4 linked regions of the Drosophila melanogaster genome follow. The protein of the gene in region 1 interacts with the protein of each later gene in a pairwise test. Each region holds a gene or a part of one and is shown in the gene's direction. Other genes may lie near its edges.

Region 1 (8,513 bases):
TTGTTTCTCAAAATCAAGGTACAGGGTATGTTCAAATTGGTGTTCAGATTATTCCAATCTGAACACCAATTGGGTTGATTCCTAAAATATCATCCACTTGGTATGACTTGAATTAGATTGGATCACTAATAGTCAAATGGAATCATAACCATGTTGTGGACACAGGAGGTCAAATAAAAAGATGACCATAGAGAATGTTTAATGGCAATTGGATTCATAATGTTTCCTTTCGATTCATCCAGTGAATAACCAGACGCTCAATTGTATTAATTACAGCGAAAACCAGTCGGCTTTTTTAAAGACAATTAAATCCCGATCGATACATTTGGTATGAGAATTGCAACTGCAATGCTCAGATTTTAACAAAGTAAATGATTTGCCGACAGCGAAATGGATTGAAGAGCCACCTGGATGGCCAAAACCATATGTTCATTTAGCAGCGATAAGTATAGATGCCCTATAACCAATTAAAAGTAGCAAGTGTGGGCAAAACAGTAGAAGTAGTTGGAGTTACCTGTATTACTGATGATGAAGAAGTGAACTCCTCCTCCTTTATGGAAGTACACATTCCATTTTCGGTACACTCAAATGCTTAATTGGAAGTATAGAAAACATGTAAAAGTTTCAAATGCCAACTAGAGAGAATGCTATAGTCAAGTTCCCCGACTATCAGATACCCTTTACTCAGCTAGTGTGAATGCGAACGCGAAATTTCTGAATTTTTCTGGTATATCGATAGATATTGGGGAATAAAAATTGTTCAAAAGTGTGGGCGTGGCAGTTATGGCCGCTTTAGGGCGTTAGACTGGGTGTGGCAAAAAAAAAATTGTAAATCGATAGAAATTTACACGACTAATAAAATTATTAAAAAATATCCAAAAAAAATTTCAAAAATGTGGGCGCGGCAGGTTTGGGCGGTTTTAGGGCGTTAGAGTGGGCGTGCCAAAGTTTTTTTTAAATCGATAGAAACTTACACGACTTATAAAATAATTTAAAAATATTTCAAAAATGTGGGCGTGGCAGTTTTGGGCGTTCGAGTGGACGTAGCAAAACGTTGTTTGCAAGTCGATAGAAATTAATGAAGACTAATCAAAATGTGAAAAAATATCAACACATTTATTAAAAGTGTGGTCGTGGCAGTTTTGTGCGGTTTGTGGGCGTTAGAGTGGGCGTGATAGCCTTCTAGCATTTATAGTACCTAAGATCTCGACGTTCATACGGACAGACGGACATGGCCAGAACAACTCGGCTATTGATCCAGATCTAGAATATATGTATATCTTCTGTCTGTTACATACTTTTCAACGAATCTAGGGTATAAAAAATATAAAACCCTCGGTATAACCAGTACGATCACAAATTCATTAACAATATTCAAATATTTATAAGCAACTACAGTTTTTCCCGGCATTTACAACATATAAATGTTTGCCGGATCTACGTCCAATGATTGTGTTGCTATTTGGGCGATGTTCTTTTGAAAACTTGAATCTCCAGCCACGATGAGGACACGCTGTCCGGGAATCGCGGGATTGAGGTGGGTGGCCAGTTCGGTGGCATCTAATCGGGACACCTTTGCCGTCTCCTTGTAGCGTAGATTGTCCCGGAGCTGAGGGCACTGCTGGGCACAGTGGCCCGCCTCCTGGCAAGCGGAGGAGTCACACTGCTGATGCGGCAGGTAGAGGCAGCTCCTGTAGTTCCAGAACTGGGCGAACTCGAGCATCTCCTCGCGGAAGTAGACATGCAGCAGGTCGTGAGCGCACACCAAATGCCACAGGCGACTCATATCCTCCTCGTTGTCCAGCACCTGCCGAACCAGCGGCAGAGTGGGTGCAATAGCAACTCCCTGGGCGATAATATAGATGCACTTGGCCGGCTGCGGTTCGTGTACGTATTGCCCGATGGGACCACGGAATTCCAGCAGATCGTCGGGCTGTACGGCTTGCAGGTGCCGAGACATTGGCCCCTCCGGCTGCAGCTTCACCAGGATACGGAACTCTTTGGCCACAAAGTCGCTCCAATAGGGCGAATACGGACGCAGCAGGGAGCCGACGCGCAGCATCACATGGTGGCCGGGCGGGATGTCAAGCACCGTGTCCACCGCTCCATCGCCGTCCCCCTCCTCTGCTGCATGAGCAAAGTGCAGGAGCAGCAACTGTCCATTGGGTCCCAGCGCTTCCCGCCGCAACAGGCGGAACTTCGTGTAGCTCAGGATCACGTTGCGTTTGCCAGCCAGCAGGACGCGTTTGCTTGGCCGTGGCTTGTTGTCGAGGATGCAGTTGGTGCAGCCATTGCCGCAGCAGTCTGAATCCCGCAGCTGGTCCTCGTTTTCCTTCAAATCTTCCAAATAAGATAACATTTTCCTGTGCCTATCGAGGCTATCGATAGCAGGCTAGCGTAGCCGGAAATCTGGCGAATTGTAGCCAGACATCTGGCTAGTCCTTAGTCAAGCCAATCGCCAGAGCAGGCAAGAGTTATCGATATCGAATCTCGGGACAGAAATGCCAGTCAAAAAAGTGTGTAAATAAAACAAAGAACAGAATATCTACAGGGAAAGGGGTGAAAGATCGGCGCCAGGCGTAGAGTACTAACTGCCCCCGCCCCCCCACTCCATCATAACACACAGCCTTGTTCGGGCGAAGATCGCTTCGTGGAGCGGACGCGGTGCGGCGGGTGCCCACGAGCAACTAGTGTCCAGGTACCAAGTGTCCAGTGACATAGCTCTATGGTGTCCTCAGCAACATGAATCTGGAATCTCTGTTCCGCGACTTCAATCCCTGGTGAGAAGCCTCCGACTGCGGACGACCGGATCACATGGGTTCCCAATCTAAAACATAATCGACCATGTTCCCTTTCAGCAAGTTCATCGTCCACTGCAGCCTGTTCATCTTTGTCACGCTCTTCGCCTTGCGCCTCGACAACTACATTGGTGGGTACTTTTCTGTGGCAGTTCTGGAATACACAACGTCACCCAGAATTAAAATAGCACGGGGATGCAAGAAAATACAATCATATAACAATACAAGCATATACGACCCATACACAAATATGTGTACGGTGCACCATCGCTTCTTCTAGAGAATAGTCCAGATTTATTGTATACAAGGGTTAGCAAGCAGATCATGAGATTGGATATAGCAATATCGAAGAAATCGTCTGACCATAGAGGATCATCCAAATTTGGTCACTTAACGAGGATATTAGTTCTCTCGCTATTTTAAATAACTTATCTAAGCTAAATATTTAGATTTTTAATTACTGAACAAGATTTATTGTAGGGCATTAACCTTATAATTGGCCTAGTAGCCTAGTCTAATCGAATGCCTTATCCCAGATTGGCCCTACTGGGCGATTTTCACACCGCTATGGATATGGAAATGCACCGCCATCCTGGGCGCAATCGTAGGAGCCATTGTGTGGTGTCGGTATCCGCATTATCGTCTCGAGGGCGATGCCTACACGCAGTTCAAAGCGATGCTCATCTCACTGGCCCTGCACCTGATCCTGCTGATGTTTGAGCTGCTGGCCTGCGATAAGCTGACCTCGGACCGTCACTTGTGGGTGCTGGTCTTCATTCCGCTGATCTTCGGCTCGGTGGTTAGTGTGGGCGCCTGTGTCTGGGCCGTCAAGCACGATCGCTCCTTCGAGCTGGAGCTCTTCCTGGCGGTCAACGCGCTTCAGTTTGTTTCACTGCCGCTAAAGCTGGATCGCTTTGTCTACTGGAACTGGGACGTAGTGTTTGTGCCCATGTGGATCGTCATATGCCTGAGCCTGGTCAGCGTATTGTATAACATCATCTTCTGTGGCATCATGATGCGTACGCCGGAGGTCTCGCTGCAGCAGAAGAAGGCGGCATTAAACGCAGCGGTGGGCAACATCTGCACGGTGCTCCCACTGCTCTGCTTTCAGGTGAGACCTCATCTAGTCCCTCCAAAAGATTGTGCATCGCTAACCCATCTATTCCGCCAGGTGGTCATCTGCGACAAGCTGGACGGCGAGCTTAAGTTCCCGTACATCGTGGTCTTCTCACCGCTGCTCGTCTCTATTCTGGCGCTAATAGTTCTTAGCTCCTCGGCAAAGGGCGGCAACATGTGGTGGTTCGGCATCCGCAAGTCTTTCAGCCAGTTCCTGTTGTCCGCGATGCCGTTCCTGCAGGAGTACGGCAACATCAGCTATCACCCGGAAACCCACAGCAATGCTGCACAGTCCATGCCGCTGGACGCAGCGTCCTCCTCGACGAGCATGGCGGCCAGCGAGCAGCTGCACGAGTTCCACAAGCACGACAAGAAGAGCAAGAAGGGGGCCAAGAATGACATTCTCAAGCCGGTGGTTCCGTTCGTCAGCATCGATCTGCCGGACTAGATATAGACGGCCAGTACAGCACAGGAGCAGTACAGGAGCAACAGTAAAACAGCAACATTTACAATAAATCGCAAGAACCGCGTAGACTTAAGGACAGCCTCTTTGCACGCGCACAAGGAGACGCCGCACACCTTTGTTCAGGTGTTTATGTTAGGCATTGTTAAGCATACCCATACCCACTTACACACTCACGTCTCCGTCGTAGCTTTTAGACTTGTACTGAATTTTAATTGTAAGACAAACGCTAACACCGCCCACGAACCATGTCCAACCAACCAACCAACCAACCAAGCACATCGCACCCACCATGCTCCCTTCCACGCATCCGCCTGCATATGATAGCACATATAGCACATACATGCATACAGGACCTGACCACCACACGCTTTTGTCCAGACCCGAATCGGACTCCAACTTGACCACAAATTGAACAGCGCCGCATTCGGAATTTTGACTCGTGTGCTAGTATTATATGTAAAACATCTCTCACACCTTGAGAAGCCCACTTATGTGTAATGACCTACTATAAAGTGTAAATAATTAACAGAGTACGTGAAAACGAGAAATATACTTAAGTGCTTCCATCAAAATGAAAAGACGATGATGAAATGGTTCGAAATTCGTGTGAGTTGTATTTATCTTTATTCAATTAGGAAGCTACAAAGTTTACATATGTATTTCATAGTTAAGTTTTGCATTTCATTTTTAATTAATTCTCTTACGTTGTGTCGCCTAAAAAGTTATGCAAAGGTAAAAAGTTGCATTTTAAAAAGTGACCATCCATTTGCCGGACAAAATAATTGAAGATTAGCCGGTGAGCGGTATATATAAAGCGCATATATATATATATATATGAATATATGAATATAGTCTGCAACCGGATCGGATGCGACTGGAAGTACATATTCTTGGGGGTGTGGGAAAGAGAGAGTGAGGCACATAATCGGAAATGGGGAATCGAAATGGAGCGGGACAGAGTTATACATTAGTATAGATATAGTTAAAGTGGGCTAAACGCAGGCCGTGTAAGCATTAACAATAATTCAAATACAATATATATCTGATCGATCGCGAGGTGCAACTGGCAACTTAACTATTGCATAACATATCGCATGAGTGGGCGTGAGCTTGCTTGCATTTGTTAATCTGTATAACATTTTTTTTTTATAGAGTGTCCGTTTGTATTTGGTTTTTTGTGTGAGAATTAACAATTGTTTCATTGGCTTAGCTACATAAATACGTTGCTCGTTTTCGGGAACATACGGGGTTATTACCTAAGACGTCGATCTCCTGCAAATATAATGCACAATCGCAATCATAATTAAGGTTAGCAATAGCACGTACTACTTATCGAATAAAACCTTCCGCCTGAACCTGCTGTGTACATATGGCACAAAGTTGGCCAAGTAGCGATATCAATTTGAACTCTTCTCGATTTACACTAAGTACTCTTGTGTAGAAGAAAAAAAAACAAAAAAAAAACACCTACGCAACTCCTTTGCTGCAAAATATATTGATCCTAATCTGGTTTGCAATTCGGTTACCTATGATGGGCCTCTAGTTTTCACCGGATTGCTCCGTCTTTCGATTTTTATTTCACTATTAAAGTTGGCTAAGAACAATTGTTTACTTGGCTACATTTGCTTATACCACTGACCTTCTGACCCCGTGAGCACCAGAAGCCGCACCTCCACGTCCATTCGGATTATTCAATCCGATCCACGATCAGTGAGGGATTCTGAAACTATGGGCATGAGTTAGCTAGCTATCAACTATCCGGGAAATATCATTTGCCATCACTGCTCGGATGGAATCTGTGGAGGTCCTGGTTCGTTGCCCGCAGCAAAGTCGCACACTTAATGTCTATTGTCTGATTACCGTCTATTAGAATCGTGTCCTTGTTCCTTTTATGTTTGTTTGTTTTTCTTTTGTGGTTGGGGGCCAATAGGGCCTGTCCCAAGGAGGCTATTTCCCGCTGCTCGTTATCATCTTGTATAAACGATATGTACTAAGTGGTAAGTAATGCGACTTCTATTTATTTTACTTTACTTTACTGCCTAACAAATGAAACTGCTCGCACCTGGCTTGGCTCCTTGCATTCCATTCGAAATTGACATGAGATCTGGCGAGCTGCGATCCATTTGGTTTGGTTTTGGTTTTGGGTGCACTTAATCCCTAGGTAACTTATTTCACGTATTTAGAATGTGTACATAGAACGGTATGCCCTCTAATCTGGCAAAATTCTTTACATACTTGTTGTTAAATTCAATAGCTATATTAATCATGGAACTATGGAACATTTATCTCTGGATTTTGGTTTGGTTTCGCTTTCGGTTTAGATTGATACATAAGTGTAAGTGTAAAGAGAATCGAAGAATTAGAAGAAGGCTAAATTTGCTATGGTTGATCGGTATGGAAGCGCTTAGTTTTAAAGTTGAAGAAGTTCGTTAATTGTACGTTTCGCACGGGAATTACACGCACACGGTTCACTGGAGGAGTGGCGTGCTGGGGGCATCTAGTCCTGGTCGAATCTAGTCCAGTTTCGGCCGGTTGCTCAAATACTGGGCAAGATTCTCGCGGGGTCCCTGCACGATCATCATGAACTGCGATGGGAAGTCCCAGATGATGGTGAAGTGGAAAAGCATGTTGGCAATGGCGATCAAGTACTCGAAGAACGCGAACCAACTGAATGCTGTCAAGAGATGTGGGAATAGAGATGTGGGAGATTCATTATCTGTTTCGGGGTGGAAAATGTGAAACTAAGAGATTTGAAACGCACCCAAGTCGTGACAGTAGAAGCGATGTTTGGCAAAGAACACCAGCAGGCCGACGGTGCTCAGGATGGAGACGGCGAACAGGATCTTCTTCCACTTGATGGAGAGGAGCTGCTTTTCGCTCAGTGCCTGTCCGGCATTGAGGATGCCGTTCAGCTTGATGGTGGCCAGCATGTAACACAGCGAGCAGACCATGAACGTGATGAATATGCGCTCGTGAACGGCTGGAAGAGAGAGAGCAGACGGATCAGAGGGATCAGATGTACGATTGGGGGGCTGGGCAGGACCTACGGTAGTTCTCGCGATTCGATATATAGGTGACGCCGCCCAGGGACGCGATCTCGATGCAATTGAGCACCAGGATCAGCGTGATGAGCAGGCTCGTCTGAGGCACCTGGGCGGGACTGATCCGACGCAGCTGCGAGCGGTAGTAGTTCTTGTAGACAAAGGCGATGGGGATTCGCGGTCCGATGTGGAGCGCGATGCTGAAGCGCCAGAAGTAGCGCTGCGGACTGACGCCGGTAATTGCACTTATCGAGGGTATAATGTTGTAGACCTGGTAACGAATGCCATACATAATTAATAACATTAATCTGGAGACTGAAGATATGGTGGGAGATGCTCTTGAATATGGACGGACGGGTTACCCTTGAAGTGAATGCTCTCTATACTTGCAAGGAAAATGAATTATGGCCACTAATAATCAAAATATATATTAATAACATAAAAAAATCAGATATGTATAAATCTATTTGAGTTATATATATACCCAAATAGGAATATATTTCACTGGTGAAATTTATTGTAATTAAAATTAAATAAATGACCGCTGGTGAAAATAAAAACCGCCATGCGTGGAGCAATTGTGAGCGAATCGTTTGGAAAAGCGGATTTGCGTGTCTCCAATCTCGGCGGGATTCCCGCAGGGATGACAGTGATTTATTGGCCACGGGCGACGCGCCGGAGCCCTGCCCAAAACATTCATCATTCATCAGCATCATCCTGGCCACTGAATACCCTTGGATCGCCCGGTGCCCATTTACTCACGCGGCAATGTGTCTCGTGGACATCGTCGTACTGGAAGACGTAGGCGGTCACGAAGCACGTGAAGAGCGTCACCAGCGGCAGCAGGGCGGTCACCACGCACAGTTCATGGAAGCTAGCCAAGTAGTGGATGGCAACCTGCTGCTCCTGCGGCTCCCTCGCATCCGCCTGCTTGGAGCTAATCGTTGTGTTGATCTGCAAGGAGTTGCAAGGAATGGAGGCCATTAGGATCGAGCGGAGTTCAAGCAAAACCACTGCGCACTATACTTGGGATGTGCGAAATGCCACATAATAACATGTGATGGAGAGTATTTGCAACATATAGCTTTTCGT
Region 2 (6,826 bases), on another chromosome or scaffold:
CGCAATCCCCAAAAGGGTAACTAATAAGACAGACACACAAAACGATCTCATTAGCAATGAGTGAATAAACACAAAAAAAATGGCATCAGGTTTATATAGAGTGAAAATATCTGGAAATAGGAAGTACCTTTAACTAATTAAATTAGCTTCAGGTGTTGCTAGAAAACAAATAGGTTCTGATTGAAATGTTTTTTTTTTTTAATATTTTCAGCGAATAATAGAATATAATTGTAGTTCCCAAGATTAAGAGCATACATATATATGTACTTTAAAGAATCGGAAACGATTTTAATAGTTAATTTGAAGCACATCCTAGCAAATATAAATAAATAAATATAAATATAAATCGCTCGACGATTTCAAGGTAATATTATTTTTTTGCATGCTGTTTCGCAGGAAGCTTTGTCCATGAAAAAGTTATCCTGTGCAGCACATGGTCCAGAAATTCTACGGCATGCGTTTTTGGAAGCTACGAAAGTAAATCCTCTTATAGTCATTTTACACCATCCAATGAATGTGGCCTGAAGATTGCAGACAGCTGGAGTAAAGGAATATTTTTTAAAATTATTTTAAATGTTTTCGTTTTGAACTTACAATTTCCATATCCCATTTCGAACTTAAGGGTTATTAATAAGGCCAATATACAAAACGACCTCATCGCAAAACGACGAGCTCTGATCAATTGAGAGGGTTTTTTTTATGCATTTAGTAGTATCGACAACTAATAGAATTAGTTCTGGATATAACATACTTAAAATGTGTTTGCAAAAAACGAGGGCTCTACAAGATTGAAAAAATACTCAAATCTTAAAATAGTTAACTAGTTAGTTATTGCTTGCACATGTCTTCGCACTCCTCTTTTTTGCTAAAATGATTTCCATTCAGAAGGCATCCCTGCCAGTATACACAATCGTTTTTATATTCAACATAGGAATAGAGGTCTGTCAATTCCAGGCATGATCCTTGGACAAAAGGTTCAAGATTACAAACCACTGAGAGAAGGTGTTACATTATTAAGTGTTAATTATTAATAAATACTTCTGCTTTGAACTCACAGCCATTTATATCCGCCGTTAGAGCTAATATTGTCCAGATCAAAATATATACTTTCATCCTCGATGTGTGTATGTTTTGAATCAACGTTAAAAAACTGAGGTAAAACTGCCAATATCGGGCAATAAGCTTACCTTTATCCTTTTTATGAATTATCCGAAACTAATTAATTAGGTTTGGAATTATGTAAAATATTGGCCATGGAAACGGAAAGTAAATTATTGTGGTTAGGGTATGAGACCGAATAATTGTTTTAAAACATTTTATATAAAAAATTAAATGATTTATTAAATATTCAGACTGCCAGAAGTTAAGATTTATGTATTAGCACAAAAAAGAAGGCCAGCAAAAAGTAGGCAATCTTTTTACAACACCATGAGGGTATTCCATTGCCCTACAAAAAAAAAACTTTGATTTATTTATTATATTACTTCTATTATTTATTGTATTATAAATAAAAAACATTCGAAATTTTTTTACATTATTCAAAGCTGCTCAACTTTATTTTTGCAGAGATCTTCGCAAATTGCTTTAGTTTGAAACCTATTTTCGTTGCCACCACAGCCTCCGTATGAAAACTCCAGACATTCGTTTTTATCTGAATGATAGGAAAACCAATTCGAGTAGTGTGCACAGGACATAATTTTCCCAAAGCCATTAGCCTCAGGCGTAAGTTGACAGATTTCTAAATATATATTTTATTTTACACATTTTAGGAGTGGTAGTTAATAATGAAATACACACTAACCATCTGCTGATTCCGCATTAACACCAGCTAATGCTATGAATAAATACCATATATTGATGAACATCTTTTTCCCGGTAAAACTTTGTTTAGATTGAAGACCTTTCTCGTGAAAGATGTCTTTATAATTCTATAATTCGCAATAACCTGGCTTAAAGTGTGCCTAATTTGAAAAGTCTACAGTTTTCTTTCAAGTGATAGGGTATCGCTTTTTGTTTATTTTATTCGATTCAAGTATATATTATTATGCGAGCACTATGAGTTCGAAAATGCGTTCCAATTATGTGCTATCTGTTTGCTTTGTTGAAATTATTTAATTAATCTCGCCAGCGTTCAACACGGCGTATGCGCAATGCGAGCTTAACTCACACATGGATGAGCAGAGAGTGAGCAAATGATTTAATTTGAACGTAATTGATCGTCTAAGCACAGCATATAGAACTGGAATATGGAACATTCGGAACAGTTCAGTTCACAGTCGTTGCTTTTAACGTTCAGTTATCAGGTTGCAAACACAAAATGCTTCTGCGGATGACCCAGTTTCTCTGCCTTGCGGCACTCGTTTTGCTAAGTCTTATGCAACTTACGCAGGCAGTAGCCACTCCCAATAATAATAATAATAATAATAACAATATTAAACCGAAGGCTGTGGTTCAGGTGCAACCTGGAAATCCATCGGGAAACAAGCCTGCAGTTGCCACAACTACAATCAAACCACAGAGACTGGTACCAGGTATGTTTATTTATAAACTGATCGAAGAACTTTTATGGACCTTTATTAAATCCCTTAATTTGTAGATCCCAAATGCCTGCAGCCCTTGGACGTTGGTCCATGCCGCATGAGCCTAGAAAGGTTCTACTACAACAAGGATTCAAAAGCTTGCGAGACCTTCAAGTACGGAGGATGTCGAGGCAATGACAATCGTTGGGGATTCCGACAAACTTGTGAGGAGGCTTGTATTCCCAAAAAGTGATCCATTGATGGCGGTCACAAAATACGAGATTGTTTTTAAATTGTAAATGCTAGATGAAATTATTTGTTGATGTATTTTTAAAATAATTACTTGAAATGGGTTTTTGCTAATGCGAAATATATACGTTTAATAATTAACTAATTACAAGTAAGCAGTATATCAAATGTTTATCTATAATTGGAATTAAGAAATTAAGTGCATTATTTTCCACCTATATGCGCAATTTTGAAAATTACCTAATGATTAGAATCGCAAACGAGCGATTATTAGGAACATTTCTTAACCAGACAGTTTATTCATTTCTTCTGAAGCTCCAAAGCTTACCCCATTCGTTAGATACACAAAAAACTTCAACCGACAGTTAACCAGTTTATAGGTAATTCAGTTAGATTCCCATTCCGCTCGCTAAACGTGATTTGGCTGACTAAAATTGTCACACCGATACGGAAGCCACTTGGAATATGATTTTATGGCCAGCATTATGATTGACTTGCGTTGGTGCGTTGATCTGCAATTGAAGGTTGGGCCGCGAAAGCTTCTCCGAGAGCTGTCAGTGCCAGGTGATATCGATATGGACGTGGATATAGACGTCAGAGAGGCACCGCCGTGATTTACATGCGGCGACGAATCAGTTGGACAAACAAGCTGGCGCTCCGATAAATGAAGTACACAAAAAGAGGCAAAACGGTGGGCAAAAACCCAGTTGAGTGAGTATAGTAGTACGTGAGTTAATCAGTTCGGACGGATAGTATTTAAGCCGCAATATCCGAGCGAGCCGAAATCATTCGCTCATCATCCACTCAACGGACTCGAAATGTGCTTTAGATATAGCTTCAGTTTCATAGTATTCGCGGCTGTTCTGCTCCTGGCAGCCGGAATTCGTGCAGCTCCCTCGGATGTCGTCGTGGAGAAGGCGGAGGAGCCCGCGGTGGCCAAACCCCTGCCTGATGCCAGTGAGCTCACTGTTCCGGAGGACTGTCATCAGCCCAAGGAAACCGGTCGCTGTTTCGCTCTGTTCTATCGCTACGCCTACAACGTGGATACACAATCCTGCGAGGAGTTCGTTTACGGTGGATGTGCCGGCAACAAGAACAACTTCGAATCCAAGGAGCAGTGCGAACAGGCATGTTTGGTAAAGTCTGCGGTTTCCTCCACGGACTCAACAACCGAACAAAACAGCGAAGTGGCCACAGAAACTAGCACCTCGTCTTAAAAAATTGTAGTTCTTAGTTTGTAATTTATTTGTCATCCAACTTCATCAGCCTTTTAAAAGCATTTCTTTACTGAGTTGATTATTTGAATAATTTGATTATAAATTTTAATAAATATACCATTGTGATTTATATATCTATTTCGTTTTATTCGCACATCTGGTACTAGCAGTACAGTATGTAGATACATTTGTAAGTGTCAGAAGTGGTTAGCAGTACATCTCGGAAAGTCATTAATTTCGAAACCCGACGGACTCACAAAAACTTGAGTCATGAATAGACGATTTTAATTAATCTTGGGAACTAAACAGTGTAAACAGTAATTTTGATAAAATATGACTACTTTTATAATGCACTTATATCGCAAAGATTCTGAAAACGAAATGTATAAATATATTATACAAGCAAAAGAGGAAATAAATGAAATTTGGGAAAAAATCGGACAAACCCACTTCCGAATGACAAATCGCTGCCTAATCGTGTTTACTTTATTCAGAACGTAGTTCCTAGATTTATTTGCTATTCCGGCATTATTTTCAGTACAAACACTAGCACTAGCACATAGTACTCGAAGTCTCGTCTGTTTATATACCAAATTCACGAGCACTCGTTAATGAACCGAAAGTTCATGAGCATATAGATAAGATCCCCAGCCAATATGTAGTTCCCATCTGCCGATCGGCATGGCGTATATAACCTAGTGCTACACCTCCGATTTCCATTAGTCGTTCCACGGAAGCTGGGAGATATACATAGTTTTCAAAATCGCAATCAGTATGAAATTCATTGCTGCCGTCTGTTTGATGTTCGCCCTGGTGGCTGTGGCCCTCGGCCTCAAGGATCGTAAGTTGGGAGCTGCTCAGGAAATCGAAACCATTCTAATTCACATTCTCAATCTATTAGCTATCTGTGGACTGCCCGCTGGTATTGATGGCAATGGTCTCATCAAGTGTGCCGCTTTTATACCCAGCTTCAGTTATCATCCCGAAACCAATTCGTGTGAAAAGTTCATCTACGGCGGATGCGGCGGCAATGAGAACCGATTTGGAACCCAGGAGCTCTGCGAACAAAAGTGCAAGGAATAAATTTGACCTCTATGCTCTACAAAATATTCAATAAATGATTTTCGATAAATAACTTTTTGGACGATTCTTTATAACTTACCTCATTTTACATCACATAAAGAAAAAAACAAGGTTCGTTTTGATCGCACTATCGGGCAAAGTTTAAGTTGCTGAATTAATTAAGAGACTAGAAAAAAGTACACCCAGAAAAATTGAGAATTAACCTTCGATTTCGAGACGAAAACGATCTGAATGTTGATATTTTCAGACGGAAGGGAAAGGTTGAAAAACTGAGAGAGGAAGGCAAATGAGAGCAAAGTCATTTGCAATCTGAGTATGGTGAGCATTATTCAATCTTAGCTAGATTTTGGGGTCGAAATTGTCAAATCGAGATGGTTGAAAACGGATTTTTCTCTGAGTGTCTTTTTTTTATTATATTATAGTAAAAAGAGGGGTTCCAACGAACAACTGAAACATTTAAGTGGAATTTTTAAACACTTACGAAATGGACCTATCAAATGAAATGAAATATTTTACGGAGCTTTCGCCATGGCCGTTGTAAGTATGACACTTCCCGTTGTTCCTATCGATAAGAGAACATATCCATAATTACAACACTTGTTGAGCTCATTGTATATTTCATATGATACAACAATTATAATGTGATGGGCTTTCCCTTTCAGGCGGCCAGTAAACAAAGTCGTTTCTGGGAAGCCGACGAATGTAAACACAATGCGGCAAAAATATTTACATAGATCGGTGCGAATTTTTGTGGAGATTTCCCAGTCATATGTGAGCTTAATTTGTTTGTCGTACAATCACAGTGTTTAATGGGATCGCTGATTAGCGGAGAGTCAATGCAATGTCGTGGCTATAAATTAAGCTACTTTAGCCGTTCAGCAGTTCAGTTTGCTCTCATCGCAATCAGCTAAAGGTTTTGAATATCTCTGAACTATGAAACTGTTGATTTTGGTTTTCGTGTTTGTCGCTTTTGTGGCCAACGCCTTGGCCCTGAAAAATGGTTGGTTCCTAACTGTTCATAACTCAAATTGGTTTGTAATCTGAAATTTTTCCAGCAATCTGTGGTCTACCCCATTCCCTAAACGGAGATGGCAGAATATCCTGTGAGGCCTATATACCCAGTTGGTCCTACGACGCCGATCGAAACGAGTGCGTCAAATTTATCTACGGAGGCTGCGGAGGCAATAACAATAGATTTAATTCGAGGGAAATCTGTGAAGACAAGTGTTTGCAATAAAATTACGTGAATCAAAAATTGAAAGCTTTTGTATTTCAGTTTGGCATGGTCATGTACTTGATTTGGCGCAGCTACTTTTTTGATTAGCTAGCACAATCTGATCTGAGACTCACAGACTTGGTACATACATTGTATAAGATTCAAAATTTTGAAAGTCCGCACAAACATTTCCATTTTGCATTCCCGAGAGGCATTACTTGATCTACGGACTCGTAAAGACGTTGTTTTCGAAACTCAAGTTCAAATGAGGCTAGTGGTTCTTGGCTGTTTGCTGCTGGCACTGGAAACAGTTGGCTTGTGTCTCAAAGATCGTGAGTTTAGGTAATAAAATGTAATACAATTTTTGTGTAATATGATCATTTTCATTAGCTATCTGTGGACAACCGCCTGCAGTAAATGGCAATGATTTCATTAAGTGCGCTGGAAGTTTTGAAAAGTTCAGTTACTATCCACACATAAATGTTTGCCAGAAATTTGAATACGGCGGCTGTTTTGGAAATGATAATAGTTTCAATACCCTA
Region 3 (6,767 bases), on another chromosome or scaffold:
AGCGGAGAGTCAATGCAATGTCGTGGCTATAAATTAAGCTACTTTAGCCGTTCAGCAGTTCAGTTTGCTCTCATCGCAATCAGCTAAAGGTTTTGAATATCTCTGAACTATGAAACTGTTGATTTTGGTTTTCGTGTTTGTCGCTTTTGTGGCCAACGCCTTGGCCCTGAAAAATGGTTGGTTCCTAACTGTTCATAACTCAAATTGGTTTGTAATCTGAAATTTTTCCAGCAATCTGTGGTCTACCCCATTCCCTAAACGGAGATGGCAGAATATCCTGTGAGGCCTATATACCCAGTTGGTCCTACGACGCCGATCGAAACGAGTGCGTCAAATTTATCTACGGAGGCTGCGGAGGCAATAACAATAGATTTAATTCGAGGGAAATCTGTGAAGACAAGTGTTTGCAATAAAATTACGTGAATCAAAAATTGAAAGCTTTTGTATTTCAGTTTGGCATGGTCATGTACTTGATTTGGCGCAGCTACTTTTTTGATTAGCTAGCACAATCTGATCTGAGACTCACAGACTTGGTACATACATTGTATAAGATTCAAAATTTTGAAAGTCCGCACAAACATTTCCATTTTGCATTCCCGAGAGGCATTACTTGATCTACGGACTCGTAAAGACGTTGTTTTCGAAACTCAAGTTCAAATGAGGCTAGTGGTTCTTGGCTGTTTGCTGCTGGCACTGGAAACAGTTGGCTTGTGTCTCAAAGATCGTGAGTTTAGGTAATAAAATGTAATACAATTTTTGTGTAATATGATCATTTTCATTAGCTATCTGTGGACAACCGCCTGCAGTAAATGGCAATGATTTCATTAAGTGCGCTGGAAGTTTTGAAAAGTTCAGTTACTATCCACACATAAATGTTTGCCAGAAATTTGAATACGGCGGCTGTTTTGGAAATGATAATAGTTTCAATACCCTAGAGAAATGCCATAAAAAGTGCAAACTCGATTGGAATACATTATATTTCTTAAATTGTGCTTACATATAAGTAAAGATGTAAGCCAGGCAGGAATAATTATTAAAAAACCTTGAATACATAAATCTTTACTTGCTTGTTTCAAAATATTCAATGTTCTTAGGCCCTTGCAAACAATTCCTGGGCTCTAAAAAAGTGGTAAGCTCATATTTTTTCATATGACAGCTTAACTCCCCATCTAAACAATTTGATGTTTGCAGAAATTTGTGGATTACCAAAAGTCGATAGTGGCAAGTGCTTGGCATATTTCAAGCTCTGGACCTATGATTCCAAAAAGAACAAATGCGTTATCTTTATCTACGGAGGATGTCAAGGCAATGAAAATTCATTTAAATCCAAAGAAGAGTGTATAACTAAGTCCGTGGAGTAATATCTTTTCTAAAATATCTTTAGAATAAAGATTGTATGATTCCAATCTGTATTGGGTGTTTTCTATTTTTAAGATTTTAAAAGACCTCTCGACCTCATTAATATGACTGTGAAATCCTAAATTGTTCACACTTAACGGAAAACTGTATGCGATATGAATATGAGTATAAAATACGCGACGCGGTTCGCTTAGGCTTCAAAGTTTTGTTGACTAAGTCAGTTAAAGGTTCCCAATATCTTTCGCCATGAAGCTGCTGATTCTTCTTTTTGTTTTCATCGCTCTTGCAAGCAATTCTTTGGCTCTGAAAAATGGTAAACTTAAATTACCTTGTTTCATAGTTGATCGTCCCAATTTAACTATTTAATGTTTTATGTTTGTAGAAATCTGTGGATTACCCGCTGCCGCTAATGGTAATTGCTTGGCATTGTTTTCTCGCTGGTCTTATGATGCTCAATATAACGTATGCTTTAATTTTATCTACGGCGGATGTCAGGGCAACGAAAATTCATTTGAATCCCAGGAAGAGTGTATAAATAAGTGCGTGGAGTAATATCTCTACGAAGATATCTGTATCTATGATCTGAATGTATGCGTACGAAACACAAGAAACATTTAGTTAGCCTTACAAATCATCATTTAAGAGCAAGAAACTTTCTGAAACGAGGGGAAGGCACAATCTAAGCTTGATTTTTTAATCTAGCCCGAAGTACATAATGCTTCACTATTTAATGTACAAATAGATTTACAAGACTAACATCTGCACTTACATGTATGTGCCAGTTCTTAGCTATCTGCCTACTTTCTATATAAGGCTGGCGGACATGCAAGATAAGCCATAGCCATATTCTTCCCGATTTCTGCGTATATGTACACCTCTATAAAACGCTGGCGAGACAAAGTCTGGCCCACCATAGTTCAACTGAAGTTTTGTCGAAAATGAAGTATATCGGCTTTGTCGCCATCGCCTTTTTGCTGAGTCTGTCCGGCAGTCGTTTATGGGTGCATGCCAAGCCGGGTGAGTAGGAATATGATTGCTCCAGACCGTGCTAAACTATGGATGATTCCCGATCGTGTAGAGATGTGCCAGCAGCCCTCTTCGATGGTGGGCATGGCGCAGGATGGAGCTGCCTGCATGGCTTTTATGCCGGCCTGGACCTATGATGCCTCCAAAAACGCCTGCACCGAGTTCATTTTCGGTGGCTGCGGTGGAAACTCCAATCAGTTCTCTACCAAGAGTGAATGCGAAAAGGCCTGCAAGGACTAAAGAAATACGAAATCACATCTTCACATCTTGGGCAAAACCCACAGCCTAAAACAAAACAATCTTGTAACTTAAAAGCCAAAACAAACAGTCGGCAATCTGGTTTCGCAAAATGGCAAACAAAATAAAAACCATACTCAACAATATCAAGGTTTGTTGTTTTTGTCAGTGCTCAAGAGACCTGACCCTCGTCGATTGATAACCGATCCGGTTTGTGCCTATAGTATATAAAACGACCAACATCTCGGATCGGTCAACAGTTCGGTTTGAGATTTCAGTAAAGCAAGCCCAAGCAAAATCAATATGAAATACCTAGTCGTTTTTGCACTCATCTGCTGTCTTGTGGCATCAGCATTTGCGACTTTGAAAAACCGTAAGTAATAACGGAGAAAGCGATCAAATTTATAGCTACTAGGCTTTACTAGCATGAGGTACAGAATGGTCTCGCTGTGTTGTGCTAAAAATGGTGCTTCAATTTGAACTTGCAGCAATCTGTGGCGAGGAGTTTGGCGTCAAGGGTACTTGCCGTTCCCTGCAACCCATGTGGACCTATCGCCCAGATACGAACGAGTGCTTCACCTTCAATTACTCCGGCTGCCACGGAAACAATAATCTATTCCACAAAAAGTTGGAGTGCGAAGAAAAATGCAAAATATAAGTGCCCATTTGGTTGTGAATAAAGTTGGAAGTTCGGTTTTGTTATCCTAATGTGATCATCTTTATTGTTTTCTTTATGAACTCGTTTAATATTTATTAATATTGGTTTGGCGGTTACTATACTTAGTTTTCGATTCAGTGTCATAGGCTAGGCTATATGTGTTCGATTCGTCGTTAGCTATATCTATATGCTGTAGTTTATAGGTATGTATATATATTGCATTAGATTTTGTATATATGTTCATATGCATTTGCGTGTTAATTAATATTGTTAATCATTGGAGTTGTCCTCGGCTGTTGCTGATTATGTTGGGTTCAATCGGGGGTTATCTTTTCGCAATCTAACTGCCACAAACAAACAACAGCTAATTATCATTCTAACGTACCTAAGATTTTATTCGAGTGCATCTGTTTAATTGTTTTTTTTTCATAAATTTTTTTTTCCTTTTGTGTTTACTTGGTTCAATTAAAGTTAGGCTAGAGCTTATTCTACTATTAAACTTTAAAATGTTTTCATTGTTTATTGTTACAAACGCGCTGGTTTGGGTATTTCATTTTAAAGATTTTCTCGGACTTTGTTTGGAGACCAAAGAAAATGGCGTGGAAATAAGATGGCCTGAAGTTTGTACAAATTTATAAATCTGAAAAATAAAATACCCAGCCTTTTCATTGCACACTCTGTTCGTTTTTTCCTCGGCCAACTATTGTTTATTCCATTTTGGTCAGCACCACGTTTCCATTCAATGAACCCGATCCTGCAATCGCTCCTGATCCTGGAGAGCCCTCCGTTGCTGCCACGCCCCCGGATGATTGCTGCGTGGGCGTGGTTGGTGGCGACAATGTGGCATGTTGCTGCTGCTGATATGCAACTGCCGATTCGGCCAGATCCAAAAGAGCGGCCGATGATGTGCCGCCTCCTGCCGAACCTGATCCCGAACCAGATCCTGAGCCGGGGCCCAGACCATTCATGGTCATGTCCTGAGCCTCGTGCTTCATTCTCATCGTGTTGTTATTGTTGTGATTGACCACATGCTGCCCCAAGGCCGGATGGTGGGCGAAGGACAGGGGTGGCAAGTGGAGGCCCGGAAAAGCCAAGCCTGCAGCAGCTGCCGCGTGCAGCGATTGCAAAAGTGCCGCCGAATGCTCCTGCGCCTTCCGCCGCAGTTCGGCCACCGAATTGGACCGCGGATCATGAACGGATCCCTGGCCGGAGGACTTTGGCGATTCCGGCGAACTGGCCGCCGAGCTGCTGCTGACCGGAATGCTCAGTGGAGCCACCACCGATGAGCCCGGTGGCGGCGGGGGCTTCAGGGAGCAGCATGAGCACAGGCTCTGGAATGGAGAGACGCCTAAAAAAAAGAAGAAATTTATATATTATTTACTTCAGACTAAGTAGAATTTTCTCTTTCAAGAATTAAATTAGCAAGAGTGTCTCGAATGCAAGTATTATTAATGGTTACTACAGATTGATTATTGAAAAAAAATTAATTTTATTAATCGCACTCAAATGCCTTTAATTGGATTAGCTGATTTTCAATTCTATTTATCTTGTCCTAAATTCACGTTGTACTACGCAATGTTTTATTAAATTAACATTTTGTCAAGCCAGCAGATTTGATTTTGATGTATCTCCTTACACTCCGTCTAATTTGATTAGACTGAAGTGATTCGGATTGACTTTGCCACTGATCGATTGGCCAGACTCACCTTTCAGGCCCGGGAAAAGCGGCTGATGGGTAAACTGGGCGGCCAAGTGGGGTGGCAGGAAAAGCGGTGGGTGGTTGGCGCTCCGCTGGGCCGCTGCTGCCGCCGCCGCAGCTGCCACGGCGCTCTGCTCACTCAGAACGGGACGAAAGCCGCAGTTGCTGCAAGTAAATAAATAAGAGAAACAAGTTATTAAAAATGATATAACATAGCTTTTGAAAACTTGGAACCATTTGAACACCCTTCCGCAGTTTATTTGCGGAGATCAAAGGCGTAAATATAATATATAAAAACTGTAAATAAAACACCACACAGCACACAAGGCAAACAAAAACAGCAAACACAGTTTTAATTAACGCTTAATTGAAATAAATTAAAACATTTTTATGCGTAATTGCATTATTATTAATGAACCCAAATATTTTGTATGAGCGTGGGCGGGGGCGGGGGCATAATCAACACCCAGTTGTCATTTTTGTGATCGTTTTAATTGAATGAAATATTACGCTTAGTCGCATGTCAAGGCAAATGGGAATGAATAAAAAAACGAAACAGACACACATACACCCCAGCCAAACAATAAAAAGCATTTAATGCAATTTAAAAATTTTAATTGATAAGTGAGACAACGTTTGTGGAACTGGTAAATTCCTATGACTCGCATAATCTCCATTAATAAAATTATGGAACAAAATATATGTACATACATTTTTATTAGAAATAATTGCGTTTAATCAACGAGAGCGAAATTTCAGTAAGTGAAAAAAAATGCAATTTCCATTTGTTCAAATTTACATTAGGGCTGCGGCAGCCGAGGGAAAAGTGTCTAAAATTTGATAATTCCTGCAAAAAAAAAAGATGGGGCTGCTCTGTGGTCATAACAAATCTGTGGAAATGCTAATCGAGTTGGAGGACTTACGAGGATTTTCCAGCGCGGAAAATGACAGGCAGACCTCGCGAATGGCGACCGCAACCACCGAGAGAAACGGACCACAAACGTCGCGGCCACTGTCGCTTTTAATTCTCTTCGCATTTCACTTTTCATTTGTCCTCCTGCCATAACAGTTTTCCCCTCCATTTTCCTAAGCTTCTCATGTTTCTGACTTTCCCTTAGCCACCCACAGTTTGTCGTGATTTTTGTCGAGTTTTTCTCGTTTCCACTGGCCTTGCTTTTTTCGGCAGTTGGAAAAACGCAAAACGCTTGGCCGCTTGAAACGGAATTTTCAATGAGATAATTGAATTTTTTGCTGTGTTCCACAATGATGGTTTTGTCAATTTTCAATTTTTGTTTTCATTTTGAGTTAGAACTTCAAAAAAGGCACAAATATAGCGCTCTTTGAGATTGGAACCTAAGCACAAGTTAAGTTTAAGTTTATGTTCTGCTGATTAAAACAAACTCAAAAGCTCAAAATAGCTATAATATTTCTAAAGTAACAAATGGAGTTTTTGGAAGAAATATCCGTTTTATTGGAAAGTCAACACACGCATATGCATTTTCCCCACTTGCCCCTTGGCACCTAATTAAGCTCGGAGCCAAAAAGCAAAAGTCCAGATGAGAAAGCTCAAATAGCAGCCATAGGAAAAACAACGAAGGCAAACACTCGGGCGTAGACAGCACCGCCCCCTAACCCCCTTTTGGCCCCAACCCTCTCTAGTTGCGAAAAAAGCAGTAAACTTAAATGTTTGCGTATAATTAAGCACTCATCCTTTGGTCGTAATTAAATTTTGCATGTGCACATCCAGCAGATGCTGGATGTTGGATGCTGGATGGACCCGAGAGTCTG
Region 4 (7,756 bases), on another chromosome or scaffold:
GGATGTGGGGATGGTGATGCCGATGTACACACAATGCAGCCCTAGGAGCATCCTTGTGGCAGCTCTATAGCTCTATAGCTTCTCCAACTCACATCACGTCACTCTCGACTTTGTTTCATTGCTTACGCAACAGACGACGGAGAAGGTCACGTTGGAACCGTTTGCGAAATCGGACGTTGCGGATCGACACATTCGCCAGAAAACACTGTCGTGGTCAACTGGGATTCCGGACACCGGACCAACTACCGTGTGGGCTACCAAAACCAGTACGACTTGATAATTGTAGATAATGCTCAAGTTGGTAAGTGACGATATTTAAGAAATCTATTCAATTAGTTAATTTTAATTTTCCAAATTACAATTATTTATAGTTCATTGTTTATAAGGTCTTATATTCGAATTCTTTTTTCGCAGGAGTTCGTCACTCAAATGTTGTCTGCGATGGCTGTTCCAAGGCGGGTATCGCTGGCATAGTATTCAAGTGCGCCCAGTGTCCCAACTATCACCTATGCGCCTATTGCTACGCAGAGGATCTGCACGATATTGAGCACCCGTTTATCCGCTACACGACTCCCAACTCGCTGGGCGTGAGATTGCCCATGAGAAAAGGTGCCAAGCGCATCCAGCTGCGAGGCATCTTTGTGGGTTCCAAAGTAGTGCGCGGTCCTGACTGGGAGTGGAACGAACAGGACGGCGGAGAAGGCAGGACGGGTCGGGTAATGGAAATCCGAGGCTGGGACAACGAATCGTGTCGCAGCGTGGCCAACGTAGCGTGGGTAACCGGATCGACGAACGTCTACCGTCTAGGTCACAAGGGAAACGTTGACCTCAAGTACATTACTGCCACGTGCGGTGGTCACTACTATAAGGACCACATGCCTGTTCTAGGTCAGACAGAGGAGTTGCAGCCGGTGGCGCCCATGGTGAAGCCAAGCTTTTCCGTGGGCGACCGCGTCAAGGTTTGCCTAGAGGTTGACGCCCTAATGAAATTGCAGCAGGGCCATGGCGGATGGAATCCGCGCATGGTCGAGCATTTGTCCAAACTGGGCACAGTACACCGCATCACGGACAAGGGGGATATACGGTGAGAATATATAATTTGGTTGATTTTATTTGGATTTCTAACACAGTCGAAACCCAAACAGTGTTCAGTATGAAAACTGTCCCAATCGATGGACCTTTCATCCCGCCGCACTCGTTAAGGTTGTCTCTTTTCGTGTCGGTGACCTGGTCACCATCATCAACGATGCCAACAAAGTGCAGCAGCTGCAGAAGGGTCACGGCGAATGGATAGAAATCATGCGACACGTGAGTATTCAGATTATGTTAAATCTTTTTTGAGAGTATTCTTTAAAAAAAATGTTTTTCAGGCCCTTGGAAAAATTTGCAAGGTAGTGAAGGTGTACTCGGACGGTGACCTCCGCATCCAGCAGTTGGACGACGGCTTCGAGTGGACCCTGAATCCGAAATGTGTCAAACTAGAGCGTTCTCCTTTGGCAACAGCAGCTGAGCGCTCTAACAGTATGATGGACCTAAGCCACCGACGCGCTGACCATGTAATGACACCGCTCTCTGGCCTCTCCGGTAGTTCGGTTGCCGACAAGCTGGTGCGCGAGGCTGCCCAGGGCCATTTGGATTTCGTGCGGCAGTACCTGGACGTGAATCCCAGCCAGGTGGATGTGATGAGTGGCGGCAAGGCTTGTATTCAGGTGGCCTCTCATCAGGGCTACGTCGATCTTGTCAGCTACCTCATCTCCAAGGGTGCCAACGTGAATGCGGTCGACAAGGAAGGTGATTCAGCTCTGCACTACGCAGCCTTCGGCAATCAGCCGGCCACCATGAGAGTGCTGCTGCAGCACGGTGCTGAGGTGAACTTCCTAAACTCGAGCCACTGCTCTGCACTGCACATCTGCGCGCACAAGAAAACGCCGCACTGTGTGCGTGAGTTGCTGCAGCACAATGCCAACGTAAACATTCAGGATTCGTACGGGGATACGGCGCTTCACGACGCAATCGGCAAAGAGAATACGGAAGTTGTGGAGTTGCTTTGTAATGCTCCGAATCTGGACTTTACGGTTAAGAATAATCGCGGCTTTAACGTGCTACACCATGCAGCGCTTAAAGGAAACGTGGTAGCTGCTCGCCGTATCCTGTTGCTCTCCCGCCAGCTGGTCAATGTGCGCAAAGACGATGGCTTTGCGGCTCTTCATTTGGCAGCCCTTAACGGTCATGCCCAGGTTGTGGAAACGCTGGTCACTGAGGGCCAAGCGGAGTTAGATATACGCAATAATCGCCAACAGACGCCGTTCCTACTGGCCGTCTCCCAGGGCCATGCCGGGGTAATCGAGCGACTCGTTCGCCTCTCCTGCGACGTGAATGCCAAGGATGAGGATGGCGACAATGCGATGCACTTGTGCGTCATTAAGAAGTCCAATCTGCAGTCGGCCGCGGAGCCTCAGCCAGAGGAGGCTCCTGAGATTCACAAGTTTTACCTGAGTCTAGTACACTCGAGCATTCGTCCTGAGGATCGTTTGATGTACAGTATATTGATCTATCTTTCGAGGGCCGGCTGCCGAGTGGAGCTGAACAACGCCAATGCAAGCATTTTTGAGTGGATAACGGACCGCCACATCAGGCAACTGATTTTTGGGCAGCAGGGCGAAGCTGAATCGCTGCCTAGGAATCTTCAAGCTTTGGAAGTGTCCGCAGGATCAGCCGACGGTGAGGAGAGCTCTGCGTCTGCTGGAGCTGAATCCAATGGAGCCGGACCTGGAAGCGTTGCAGCACCCCCACCACCGCAGCGCCAGACATTTGAACTAATGCCAAAGCCAAACGATATCCCAGCCATTGGAGTTGGAGCATCTCCATCCACGCCCTCCGCCTCGCCGGGCGTAAAGAAACTGAACTCCGACGCAACACCGCAAAACGTCTCTCCACAGGTGGCACCGCGCAAGAAGGCGCCCAAGCCTCCGGTTACCACTAGCTCGAGCAGTACCGCGTTGGAAGCCGGAGCGGCGGGACCCAGTACCAGTCCGGTGATCGTCCCCGGTCCCCATGAGTGCATTGTGTGCAATGAGATCCTGCCGATGGTGCGCTTTGAGCCGTGTCAGCATCAGATCGCCTGCGAGGAGTGCGGCATCCGAATGAAAAAGTGTCTCCGCTGTGCCGTGGCGATCGAGCGGCGATTGACGGTCAGCGGCCGAGTGGTGGCCCTGCCCACGTCCACGTCGTCACCTAGTGACCCCACTCGCCTACCGTCCGGGGATCTACTTCGCTATCTGGAGAACAAAGTGCTGGAGTTTGAGGAGTCGCACTTCTGCGGTATTTGCATGGAGCGAAAAAGGGATGTGGCCTTCCTGTGCGGGCACGGCGCGTGCTCCCATTGTGCCGAAACGCTCCGCACATGCCACATGTGTCGCAAGACAATACTCAAGAAGATCAACCTGTACTGAACGGCGGTAACGGAAACGAAAGAAAAGCAAAGGCGGCAGGATCAGCAGCAATTCAAACAGCAACCAAAGTGGCTTGTATATATACATACACAAAACAAACACACACTCACATTGCCGTGTCATGTGCAAATCGAAATTATTATTTATTGATCACAAACGAAATTTACGAGTTCTTTTTTAATCGGTTCATCATCGGCATCGTCGCAACACGCAACAAATTAATGTGCACCTTCTCGTGTCTAGTTATTAGCCCCGTTTAACCATGTCTGGTAACGATAAATACATAGGAAACTAACTAAAGCATACAAATATTTAATAGTCATTTAAATGCAAATATACAAATATAAAATTATTTAATTGAGTGAATTTCAATCGATGTCGGTGGTTAGCCTACAGAAAATAAAGATACTTTATTTCTGAATATGCTGGGGTGACTTTTAATTGTATTGGTATTTAAAAGGTTTAGTTTAAAATTGAATATATAATAAGTTTAGAAAGATTTTAAAACTGAAATGTTGTAACGGCAAAGTGTGAACAAGTTATTTTCTTTCAGTACGCTGCATAAATTTTAAATGTTTTGCATTTTTGTAAGCATTGACTTGGCAAGCTGTCGGATCTTAAGCTCCGTTTAAAAGTTAATGTAAGCAAAAGCGGCAAAGTACAACTTATAATTGAAAATATACACAAGTTTATTTTTTATTTGAGCGAAACAATCGATACCTCCAGATTTACACGCTAATCGATAACAACGTAGCCAGAAAAAAAGCAAACACGTCACAACACTTTGGCCGCAGTCCGACGCGAAACTAAAGTAAAGGACAAAATGGCCAAACAAGTGGCTGATTACCAGTGCAGTAAGCTCCAGTTGTACCAAAAGCTGGCACTGGTCGTAATCCTGGGAGCAGTGCTTTTCTCGCTCCCGGCGTTGTGCGCCGGCCAGGGCAATCCCAGTTTCAAATACTCGCGGGAAGCCAACGAAAACTTCGATCCGCAGAAGGCTCCACGGGCGGAGCACCATCATCATCATGATCATGACCACGATCATGGACACCACCACCACGGGCACGATCATGATCATGACCACGACCACGGGCATGATCATGGACACCATCATCACGGGCACGATCATGATCATGACCACGACCACGGACACCATCATCACGGGCACGATGAAAGGCACACCAAGGCAAAGCCGGATTTGGGTAATCAACGAACTACCACTCTTAAAATGCCCGAGTTGACCCAAATTTCTTATAGATATGAGCACCATTTGGTTGCACTCGATCGGCTCAACTCTTCTTATCAGTGCCGCTCCCTTCGTGCTGCTGTATATCATTCCCCTAGACAACAGTGAGGCGATGAAGCCGCGTCTCAAAGTGCTTCTGGCCTTTGCTTCTGGCGGTTTGTTGGGTGATGCCTTTCTGCACTTGATTCCTCATGCCACGCATCCACACAGTCATGGAGAACACGGCCACGATCACGGCCATGATCACCATCATCATCATGATGGCGAGGAGCATGAACATGGTCACAGCCACGATATGAGCATTGGTCTGTGGGTCCTTGGAGGAATCATTGCCTTCCTTTCAGTGGAGAAACTGGTACGCATTCTAAAGGGCGGTCATGGAGGACACGGCCACAGCCATGGAGCACCAAAGCCAAAACCAGTGCCTGCTAAGAAAAAGTCCTCTGACAAAGAAGACAGCGGAGATGGAGACAAACCGGCAAAGCCAGCCAAGATCAAGTCCAAGAAACCAGAAGCGGAGCCAGAAGGCGAAGTGGAGATTTCCGGCTACTTGAATTTGGCGGCGGACTTTGCTCACAACTTCACCGATGGCCTGGCCATCGGCGCCTCCTATTTGGCGGGCAACAGCATTGGCATTGTGACCACTATCACTATTCTGCTGCACGAAGTGCCCCATGAGATTGGTGACTTTGCCATTCTTATAAAGTCTGGCTGTTCCAGGCGAAAGGCAATGCTTCTGCAGCTCGTCACAGCGCTCGGAGCTTTGGCGGGCACAGCGCTAGCTCTTCTGGGAGCTGGAGGCGGGGACGGATCGGCCCCATGGGTCTTGCCCTTCACAGCCGGCGGTTTTATTTACATCGCAACAGTGAGTGTCCTGCCGGAGCTGCTTGAGGAGTCTACGAAACTGAAACAGTCGCTGAAGGAAATCTTTGCGCTGCTAACCGGCGTAGCCCTAATGATCGTTATCGCCAAGTTCGAGTAATATCAAAATTGTGGAAAGTTAACACAAAAAAGATCTAATTGCATGTACTGAAAGTGTGCCGCAAACAATTTGAAAGATTTCTGTTCGTTACCTACTCAAAACGATGAGCAACTACTTAAATTTCTTATATTTCAACAGTCAGTAACCGCTATTAGTTCCCAATATAAACAATGCGGCGTTATTTAAGATTTTTTAAGCCTTCCAAATTTGTGCTTCACTTCGAAATGAAATTTTTATAAATAGTCAAAATTACACTGTAAAAAGAATCCTCACTGGCGCTTCTCTCCATTCAGGGTTGTCTTTATCTCGTTGAGACAATACTCGGCCTGCTCTACGGCATCGGGATTCTGGTGTTGCTTTCCCAGTTTCCACGCCAGTCGGCAAGCGTTCTCCGCCTGCGACATCAGGCCCTCGCGAAGATACACCAAACCCAGATTTGCCTGCAGAATGCCTTCCTGGGTGGCATCCTTTAGCTCCTTAGTCAGCTCCATGGCCTCCAAAAGGGTCTCCCTTGCCTCGGCGTACTTTTCCAGCTGTAATTAGTCTAATGTGTTTCAAGTACTTTGGAAGAATAGACGCACCTACGTTTACGTACGCCACACTGATGTTATTTAGGATGGTTACAGAGGCGTCGTTAACGGCACCATAAACATTTATGAGCGTGTCGAAGGCCTCCTTAAAGAGGTTTTTAGCCTCCAGGTATTTTCCCTGCTTCATCAGCAGCTGCCCGAACCTGGAAAATAAACATAAGGAAAAGTATTGAAAAAAGGCTTGGTTAGCGGCAATGGAAACACCTTCAATACCAATTCTTTGTCAAGCCATACAGCTCCAGTATGTCCTTGTCGTCGGGCATTTTCTCCAGTAGCTTAGCCAACTGCTGCAAGGTCCAAGTGAACCCTTGAAAGCTCTTTTCCAGATCCCCTTGCAGCTGAGACATGTGTGCTATCTTGGAGCTGATGTGAAGTATCTAAAGATGAAAGAGATCTTAACTGGTTATGGTGTCTAAGTGGGTCACCCACCTTGGGACTCTCTTCGGTGTGACCCTCGGCAAAAAGCCGTTTCATAACGTCCGTGAATATCTTCTCCGCCTTCTTAAACTGCTCGCGTTCCATGGCCAAATTGGCCATCAGATCAAACACATATGTGATGCCGTCCTTGCTCTGAATATCCTGCGCCATTCGCAGAGCCAGGTGAAGCATTTGCTCGGCCTTGTCGTACTGTTCCCTCTGAATGCACAGGATTGATCGTTTGATGGTCTTGATCAGTTTTTCCTCCGGAGTTTCCTCTTTTTCGTCGGCGCCACCAAACAGATTCAGAGTGAAAGCAGCGGAAAATGCCCAAAACATTCCACCGGAAGAGCCAGAAGCGGGCGGAGCTGCCCAGGACACCTCGTAGCCCGCAGCATTGGAGCACAGCGGTCGACATCCGAATTCTGACCGTTGGTGATAACGGCTTCTCTTCAGCGGCGCAAGATGACAGTAATCTCTGGGATTCACGACAACGCGGAACCTGCCCATAACTTGCGTAAACTTGCAAATATTTCTCACTAACATGTTTAGGGCTTTATTAATTATTTAACTAAAACCTATAATGTTGCAGGTATGGTATTAAAAATTATGAAATAGCACGTATGTAGTGTTGCAAAGCGCGGTAAAGACGTTTTAAAAGTACATTTCGTAACGCTTGATTAAGAACATAGAAGACTTTTAAATAATTTCTACTCTATCATACTTTCGCAAATATATTTATGTTTCGTTAAGATTTCGTAAACAAAGGTTTTTAAATTTTTTAGAGATGACACTGTCAAACAAAACTTTATCGGCAACTTTGGTACCTAACATTTCGTTCATAAGTTAAATCTGCGAACAAAAATAAATTGATAAGTAGAGTTATTAACAATCTCGAATAAAAAACATTTAAGTACATTTGATAAAGTTTTTCGTAATAAGGTACTTCCTTCCCCCATCGCATACGATACTATCGATAGCCGTCAGCGGGGCGATAGACCGAGAGAAAGCATCCCTGTATATTGATGGCGGATTGACGCTCTTTCGCCTAGTAAAATTATTTTTCTTA

What was found.
Region 2: the proteins of CG14194 (region 1) and CG16713 interact in a two-hybrid assay, tested with the Drosophila melanogaster proteins (one large-scale study listed by BioGRID).
Region 3: the proteins of CG14194 (region 1) and Acp24A4 interact in a two-hybrid assay, tested with the Drosophila melanogaster proteins (one large-scale study listed by BioGRID).
Region 4: the proteins of CG14194 (region 1) and Catsup interact in a two-hybrid assay, tested with the Drosophila melanogaster proteins (one large-scale study listed by BioGRID).

The regions. Positions count from the first base shown.
Region 1 is NC_004354.4:19,191,090-19,199,602, forward strand, and holds CG14194 (uncharacterized protein), read left to right. Parts: upstream 1-2,465; 5' UTR 2,466-2,742; coding exon 2,743-2,780; intron 2,781-2,858; coding exon 2,859-2,929; intron 2,930-3,334; coding exon 3,335-3,909; intron 3,910-3,969; coding exon 3,970-4,362; 3' UTR 4,363-4,948; downstream 4,949-8,513. Other genes in the region: CG7914 (uncharacterized protein), read right to left, coding at 1,412-2,359; CG7990 (uncharacterized protein), read right to left, coding at 6,894-7,054, 7,142-7,360, 7,428-7,692, 8,184-8,375.
Region 2 is NT_033779.5:3,694,532-3,701,357, reverse strand, and holds CG16713 (uncharacterized protein), read left to right. Parts: upstream 1-5,946; 5' UTR 5,947-6,001; coding exon 6,002-6,068; intron 6,069-6,123; coding exon 6,124-6,305; 3' UTR 6,306-6,326; downstream 6,327-6,826. Other genes in the region: CG42467 (uncharacterized protein), read right to left, coding at 1-51; Sfp24C1 (seminal fluid protein 24C1), read right to left, coding at 360-538, 595-658; CG42465 (uncharacterized protein), read right to left, coding at 829-992, 1,056-1,113; CG42464 (uncharacterized protein), read right to left, coding at 1,539-1,738, 1,802-1,865; CG10031 (uncharacterized protein), read left to right, coding at 2,318-2,531, 2,597-2,772; CG3604 (uncharacterized protein), read left to right, coding at 3,587-3,985; IM33 (immune induced molecule 33), read left to right, coding at 4,760-4,826, 4,887-5,068; CG43165 (uncharacterized protein), read left to right, coding at 6,550-6,616, 6,675-6,826.
Region 3 is NT_033779.5:3,688,699-3,695,465, reverse strand, and holds Acp24A4 (accessory gland protein 24A4), read left to right. Parts: upstream 1-1,560; 5' UTR 1,561-1,605; coding exon 1,606-1,672; intron 1,673-1,741; coding exon 1,742-1,911; 3' UTR 1,912-2,282; downstream 2,283-6,767. Other genes in the region: CG16713 (uncharacterized protein), read left to right, coding at 110-176, 232-413; CG43165 (uncharacterized protein), read left to right, coding at 658-724, 783-1,003; CG3513 (uncharacterized protein), read left to right, coding at 2,298-2,376, 2,438-2,625; CG16704 (uncharacterized protein), read left to right, coding at 2,926-2,995, 3,111-3,280; Drgx (dorsal root ganglia homeobox), read right to left, coding at 3,988-4,628, 4,987-5,144.
Region 4 is NT_033779.5:19,037,671-19,045,426, forward strand, and holds Catsup (catecholamines up), read left to right. Parts: upstream 1-4,191; 5' UTR 4,192-4,275; coding exon 4,276-4,654; intron 4,655-4,709; coding exon 4,710-5,680; 3' UTR 5,681-5,944; downstream 5,945-7,756. Other genes in the region: mib2 (mind bomb 2), read left to right, coding at 134-301, 415-1,084, 1,146-1,308, 1,371-3,452; Ttc19 (tetratricopeptide repeat domain 19), read right to left, coding at 5,950-6,213, 6,266-6,413, 6,484-6,647, 6,700-7,233.